Linked DNA regions of Oryctolagus cuniculus. The protein of the gene in region 1 purifies or fractionates together with the protein of each later gene. This does not show direct contact. Links are inferred from orthologs where the notes say so. Each region holds a gene or a part of one and is shown in the gene's direction. Other genes may lie near its edges.

What was found.
Region 2: the proteins of DBF4B (region 1) and CDC7 purify together in Homo sapiens (affinity purification with mass spectrometry; 3 studies listed by BioGRID and IntAct, counting the BioPlex papers as one, with this or other methods). This does not show direct contact. The link is inferred for Oryctolagus cuniculus from reciprocal best matches to the Homo sapiens genes DBF4B and CDC7.

Annotation. Positions count from the first base shown.
Region 1 is NC_091448.1:17,992,317-17,996,126, forward strand, and holds part of DBF4B (protein DBF4 homolog B), read left to right. Parts: intron 1-951; coding exon 952-1,002; intron 1,003-1,676; coding exon 1,677-1,764; intron 1,765-3,202; coding exon 3,203-3,276; intron 3,277-3,810. UniProt on the Homo sapiens protein: Regulatory subunit for CDC7 which activates its kinase activity thereby playing a central role in DNA replication and cell proliferation. Required for progression of S and M phases.
Region 2 is NC_091438.1:79,107,442-79,111,251, reverse strand, and holds part of CDC7 (cell division cycle 7-related protein kinase), read left to right. Parts: intron 1-533; coding exon 534-617; intron 618-929; coding exon 930-1,065; intron 1,066-3,810. UniProt on the Homo sapiens protein: Kinase involved in initiation of DNA replication. Phosphorylates critical substrates that regulate the G1/S phase transition and initiation of DNA replication, such as MCM proteins and CLASPIN.

The DNA of each region.
Region 1 (3,810 bases):
GGCAGCGGCAAGTGCCTGGGCCCCTGCTACCATGTGGGCGAGATGGAGTTCTGGGCTTCTGGCTTCAGCCTGGCCCAGACCTGCCTGTTGCAGCCATTTGGGGAGTAAACTAATAGAAGGAAGGTATCTGTTAACATGTCTCCCTCCGTCTTGGTCAGTCTGCCTTTAAAAGAAAGAAATAATTTTTTTTATTTAAAATGTCCATGAACATCCACTATTGGCATCATTATGAGGCACAAGGCTCCAAGGAACCAGGAGAAGATTTTCTAGGGGCCCACATGGTGGCGTAGAAGTCAAGCCTACACCTGCAGTGCCGGCATCCCTTATGGGTGCCAGTCCAAGTTCTGGCTGCCCCACTTCCCAATCCAGCTCCCTGCTAATGCACCTGGGAGGGCAGCGCAGGATGGCCCAAGTCCTTGGGCCCTGCACCAGTGTGGGAGACCTGAAAGAAGCTCCTGGCTCCTGGCTTTAGCCTGGCCCAGCCCCAGCTGTTGTGGCCATTTGGGGAGTGAACCATCGGGTGGGAGACCTTTCTGTCTGTCTCTTCTCTCTCTCGCCTTCTCTCTTTGTATCTCCTCCTTTTGAATAAATAAATAAATATTTAAAAAAAAAAAAAAAAACCTTTCTAAAGTGAAACAAGGACAGTCATTCCGTACTTGAATGCAAACTTCTAAGAAGAGGTGTTGTGATACTCGTCACACCTTGACCTCAGTGAGCGTGGGTGCCTTCCCCACGGGAGGCAGCTGGCCCGAGCTGCAGCTCCCTCTGGGTGACCTGGACTTTTGCCCCCTGCAGGTTCTCTCGGCTCTCGTTTCTGCTGATCTCAGCTGTCTCTGCTCTTAGCTTCCGGGGGACGTGACCCCATGGCAGCTGCACCAGCTCAGACGTGAGCATCTGTTTGCCCTCGTGCTGTGCGCCACGCAGCACACCCCATTGTGCTCTCTCCCCCAGGTGCCCATGAGCAGAGGGAAAGAGCTGCTGCAGAAGGCCATCAGAAAGCAGGTGAGCTGGGCAGGACAGGGCAGGGGTGCCTGGCACCGCTGGACAGGGAGGCGGCCTCTCCGCTCGCGCGGAAGTCACACTCGGCGACAGGTGGCGTGCTGTCCTTTCCTTAGAGAAGTTCCCCGCGTCACCTGGGGACGTTAGAGCCAGAGCCAGCTCCACTCGAGCCTGCCAAGAGAGCCCTGGAAGATGTGGCAGGACGTGGCTGCTGGGCGCGTCGGCCAGACTCGGGGCGTGTTTTCTCAGTAGCTGTTTGTCTAGTTACATGGCAGCTGGAAGAGCGAAGGTGATTCTGTGAGCGGAGCCATTGAGGTCCCATCGGGATGGGCATCGTGGCTGTGGGGAGGGAGAGGCGCTGGCAGACGGAGCTCTGCTGCCAGCAGCGTCCTGCTCAGCGGTGCCTGTGATGTCCCCAGTGTATCCTGTGTCCCTGCTGCGTGCACAGGCCCTCCTGACGGACAGGTCTCCTGGAAGCCCAGTTCTGGGTCGCCACAGCAGGCTGTGTCCTGCTGACGGGGCCAGCCCGTGTGCAGGGCAGGGTGTGTCTTCTGGGCACCAGGCCCTTCTCCCGCCCGCCACGCCCCGGCTCACCCAGGGCCCTCCGCGGGACGCTCCCCTGCCCCGTCAGGCCTCGGGGAGTCTCACGTCCTGCCTGGCGGTCTCTGTCGTTGCAGGGGAGCAGCAGCGGCGGCGGCAGTGGAAGCAGCAGCAGCCTCCTGACCAACGCCCGCTCCTGGGGAGTGCGGGTCCTGCACGTGGACGGTACTGCTTCCCCCGGGCACCGGGGGAGGGCACAGTTGTTGGTTTGGGCCAGAAATGTCAGCTGGTAGAGGGTTCATGGCTATGTACGCTCCTGGCAGCTGGAAGCCGAAAATACTGTCACCAAGTGGCTGTGCAGAGGTGGAGGGGTGGGAGAGGGGGTGACAACAGCAGAACGTGGACGCCTGTGGCCTGCAGGTGCCAGGAACAGGCCATCGGCTGTGGCTGCAGCACCCCTCTCCAGCCAGGGTGATGGTCCTAGCGTGCAGACAGGGAGGCAGCCCCTTAGCAGCCACTCACCCTGTGCCAGCGGTCACCGCGCTGAATCCTCACCACAAGCCTGTCCCCATGTGCAGGGGTGGAGACCGAGCCCCCGAGGCACTGAGGGAGCTGTCCATGGTCTCTTGGGCATAGTGCTGTGGCCCTGACTCGCTGCAGCTCGGCCTGTGAACCCTGTGTCCTCTCTTCTCTGTAGGGGTGCCTCACGCTCTAAACAGCCTGCTTGCAGGCCGTCAGCAGCGGCACTGGGATTGTTGTCCTGAGTCGCTGGCGGCAACTGCTCTCACCCTCACTGAGCCGCTTTAGGGTGGATCTACCTGGGAAAGCCCCCAAGTGCTGTCTGGGGTGCTACCCCACCCTTTGGTGTCAGTATCTTCTTTTTTTTTTTCTTTTTTTTTTTTTTTTAATATTTATTTATTTGAGAGGCAAAGAGAGAGAGAGTCTTCCATCTGCTGGTTCACTCCCCAAATGGCTGCAATGGCTGGAGCTGGGCTGATCCGAAGTCAGGAGCCAGGAGCCTCCTCCCAGTCTCCCACATGGGTGCTTGGGCTACCTTCCACTGCTTTCCCAGGCCACAGCAGAGAACTGGATCAGAAGTGGAGCAGCCGGGACTTGAACTGGTGCCCTTATGGGATGCCGGCACTGCAGGTGTCAGCTTTTCCCACTACACCACAGCACCGGCCCCGGTGTCAGTATCTTCTACGGGGCTTGAGAGGTTACTTGGGGAGAGTTCCAGGTCTTGGGGGGGGGGGGGGGGCCTCTGTCTCCCTGAAAAAACCAGCGCTTTGTGACTGGTTCTCATGTCCTGCCCTGCTGTGGGTCAGAAGCGGGTCTTCCTCCCCGGGGTACATCTGAGTAGCTGCCCTGCTTGGCCTCCCACCAGGAGCAGCTCTTCAGTGGTCCTCAGTGTCCGTGGTGACCCGGGAGGTACCCCTATTCCAAATGAAGCTGCCGCCGGTGATTCCTGTGAGCGCGGCGTCAGGCCGAGGACCCAGCCCAGCCCTTCCCTCTGTTGTCAGGAGGTGCAGAGGTGCCCCCCAGCCAGGAGGTGGCAGGCCAGGCCGGTAGATGGGGCGGGTGTGGCCTGGCCTGGCGTTCCGTCCTCAGCCCTGCGCCCAGGAGGGTGCGAGCTGGTGACTGCAGCCCAGTGTCCTCTCCGCAGAGATGTTGGTGCACGTGCAGCAGCTGTCTCTGGGGTCTCTCTGTGTGAAGAAACAGGAGCCGAAGAAGGCAGAGGTAGGTCGCCCTGCTAACTCTCGGGCAGCGGTGGTTCCCCACGCGGCCTCTGGCGGCTCCACTAAAGCCATGACCCACCCAGGCTCTCTTCCTGGCCATTCTGGAAACCACAAGCAGGGGGCGGCCTCCTGGTTACTTCGTTCGCCGCGTCCGCAGCTTTGCACTGCCTTTCTTCCCTTGCCTTGGCCCTGTGCTCCCTGCAGACCCCCGGGTGCACTGGCTCGCTGAGGCATTCACTGCGCGCCCTGTGGGGACTCCTGGCCTAGAAAAGTTTCATGACAGCTCATGGCCGCTCGGCCTGGCAACGAGCCTGCAGGTGGCGGAGCTGGCGGGGGCGGCGTGAGGCTTTGAAACAGCTGCCGTCTTCCACATGCTCGCTCGGCGTTCCCTCTCTTTGCTGGAGTTAGAACTGTGTGCACCACACCCAGAGAGCGCTGGCCAGCGCCCAGCCCAAGTCTGGGGAAAGGACTGACCCTGCAGGTGCACGCGGGGCCGGCGCCCAGGACAGGGCAGGCCTCGCGGAGGCAGCAAAGC
Region 2 (3,810 bases), on another chromosome or scaffold:
AATATGTATGGGCTGGGATTGTGGTATACCAGGTTAAGCCTCCACCTGTGACACTAGTATCCCATATAGGCCCCGGTTCATGTCCTGGTTGCTCCACTTCTGATATAGCTTCCTGCTAATGAGTCTGAGAAAGCAGTAGAAAGATGGCCCAAGTCCTTACACTTCTGCCACTCACATGGGAGACTCAGATGAAGCTCCTTGTTTCTGGCGTCAGCCTGGTCTAGCCCTGGCTAATGTAACCAACTGGGGAGTGAACCAGCAGATAGAAGCGCTCTCTTGCTCGCTCGCTCTCTCTTGCTCTCGCCCTCTCTGTCTCTCCTTTTCTCTATGTAACTCTGTTTTTCAAATAAATAAATTAAGAAAAAAGTATAAATTATAACAACTTTATAGAGTTTTAGTTATAATTTTGAGATTTATTAAAACTTTTCATTTGTAATACTCGTATCTTAAAGTTTATCTCTTTGAGTTTTTTTAATTTAAGTTATAAAAAAACTCTCCTTGATTGTAACCATAAATTTTTGTTTCCTTGATAGGTGTTAAAAAGGATATTGAGAAGCTTTATGAAGCTGTTCCACAACTTGGCAATGTGTTTAAGATTAAGGACAAAATTGGAGAAGGTAATTTGGGGGTAAACTTTCTTATCTGTGTAAGTTCTTTTCCCTTTTCCTTGAGCAATTTTGATTTTCATTATTTTTAAATTGAAAAATATACTGCTTTTTAAATATTATGACCATGATTATATTACTAATTATGGTAATAGATTTTCTTTTTTTCCTCCTGGGAAGAATGAAAATGTAACTGATATTTACAGTAAAATGAACACGCCTGTTTTAATCTAATACCATTACAATTTCTTTGGTATATTTTAGCATTTTTTCATTAACATCTTAAAACCAAATACTGAAAAACCTAATAAATTGTTTTTATAGGCACTTTCAGCTCTGTTTATTTGGCCACAGCACAGTTACAAGTGGGACCTGAGGAAAAAATTGCTCTGAAACACTTAATTCCAACAAGTCATCCTATAAGAATCGCTGCTGAACTTCAGTGTCTAACAGTGGCTGGGTAGGCAATTTAAAGACATTTTAATTGTACTGACCATGTGACTTGCAATATTTTAAAGTAGATGAATAGGGCTGATGAGATTGTACATGAATCAAGCTTATTTTTTTAGTTAGGTGTTTGTGATTTACTAGCACTTTTTTCAACCTTGCAAAGATTAATTAAGTTTATATTCTTTTAGAGTGGATTTCCTTTGAGCTCAGTTTGGCTTCCTGTTCTTTCACCACTTAGTTAATATTCCTGCCAAATCATAAACTTTGGTATCCATGGTTTATATTTTTTTTAATGTGGTAATCTGGTATTTCACATCTACCTAACTTTGGATGGACTCATCTCATATTTTGATGAGAATAACAGAATTACCTCTCTGATAAATCATTTCTATCAACATATGGACGCAATCTAATATCTAGTGGCTTCTGAACTTTCCTCTCTCGTCCAGTTGCTCCATTATTTCTTTGCTCTCTTTTACTCTTCCTCAGATACTATTCTGCATTTCCATATGACTTATGGTAATGATTTCCTAAAGGATGTGTCTAGTCTAAGGTCTTTTAACTGCAGATATTTCCAAATGGATGCTTGATAAATACCTCAAACCTAATGTGCCAAAAAAGCAAAAATTTTTTTAAGAAAATACTATTTTATAAATACTAAATACTATTTTTTGACTTTTCTAAATATTTTTTCCTAAATACTATTTATTTGAAAGGCAGAGAAATATCTTCCACTCACTGGTTCACTCGTCAAGTGCCTGTAACAGCCATGGATGGGCCAGGCCAAGCCAGCAGCCTGGAACTCAGTATAGATCTCACAGATGGATGACAGGGACCCAGCTACTTGACCCATCACCTGCTGCCTCACTACCTTAATCCAAGGCTAGACTACTACTCTTGCCTGTGTCTTTTGTGCCCCCTTATCCTATCTTCATACAGTCGTCAGAGTGAGCTTTATATTCTGTAACATAATTTAGACAATGTGAGTTCTGCCACCTAAAATTTTTCTGTGGTTTCCTAATATAGTTTAAGGGAAAAGAAGTCATTCCTTTATCATGCCGGTCTTCCCGACTCTTCCCTGTGCTCCGGTTTCTTTAGTTCCTCCAATTTATCTTAAGAGCTTACTTTCTTTAAGGCCACTCATTCCCAAACTCTTTGTCCATGCAAGAAGAACTCTCTGGTCTTCAAATGCTGTTATCTCTTATTTCTGCTGTAGGCAAGAGTGACATTGTTTCAAAGATGCCTTGGATTAAATTTGATTCTCCTATATTGATATATGTGTGTGTGTGTGTGTGTGTGTGTGTATGTAGGAACTTTAGGCTTTTTCTAAGCCCCGTACTGTAGTCCATTATTTATCATCTTGTTTGTTGCCCATTGTTCTACTAGATAGTTAAGTTCTCTGAGGACAGAAATTGTATTAATTTTACTTATCATTGCATTCCCCATGTCTAACATAGTGTCTCCAAATAATAGTGCCCACTAATTTCTTATTAAATCAATAAAAGAATGAGCCTGTTTCTTTGATTCACCCTTCTCTGTACTTGGTGTCTCTCTACCCCTTTTTCCTTTCTCTGCATTTCAGAAATGTGCATGCTAAAAACGTCTTCCTCTGGTCTTGCAATGCAGTTGGCAAATTGTCTTTGTGCTCTGCTTTGAACACTATCCTGGTTGCTTTCCTTAACTCCTATTTTGCTTCTTTCTTTCCATTTAATTGCTTTTAGAAAAATTACTAGTTTCCCTGTCACTCCAAAAGCCTTTACTCAGTCCTTATCCTCTGACCTCCATTTTGGGGGCTCCTTTCCAACTCCTTACTTTGTTATCCTTCCTTATTTTTACTTTTTACCATGAGACTTTTTCCAAAACTCATTTTCTCTTCTCTGTTTATGTTCACAGCTTTTGGATATTGCTTCTTTGTAAGTTTTCTCGCTTGACTTCCCAGTTAAGATTTAGTCCTGGGGGCCAGCATTGTGATGTAGCCAATTAAGCTGCCGCCTGCAGTGCTGGCATCCTATATGGGTGCCCATTTGCACTTCCAATCTGGCTCCCTGCTGATGGCCTGGGAAAGCAGTAAAAGGTGGCCCCAGTGCTTGGGCCTCTGCCACCCATGTGGGAGACCCAGAAAAATCTCCTTGCTCCTGGCTTTAACCTGGCCCAGCCTTGGCCATGTGGCTATCTGGGGAATGAACCAGCAAATGGAAGATCTCTGTCTCTCCTTTTCTCTCTAACTTTGTCTTTCAAAGAAATAAATAAAATATTAAGAAAAAAAGATTGGGGCGGGTATTGGCATAGCTGGTAAAGCCATCACCTGTAGTGCCAGCATCCCGAACGGGCACCAATTCATATCCTGGCTGCTCCACTTCCAATACAACTCCCTGCTGATGGCCTGGGAAAAACAGTAGAAGATGGCCCAAGTGTTTAGACTCCTGCCACCCATGTGGGAAGCCAAGATGAAGTTCCTGGCTCCTGGCTTCTGTCTGGCCCAGCCCTGGCCATCACTGCCATCTGGGGAGTGAACCAGCAGATGGAAGATGTCTCTCTCTATATATAACTCTGCCTTTCAAATAAATAAATACATCTTTAAAAAATTTAAAATATTTAGTCCCATATCTAAATTTTTCTTTTAAAATGATGAATTGTTGGTGTTGTTTGTTTGCTTGTTTTACTTAATTTTTTTGGCATCTACTTATTACAGTCAGTATCAAAATCATGGAAATCAACATTATTCCATTTTCCTTACCCGTTAAGAAACATTGTG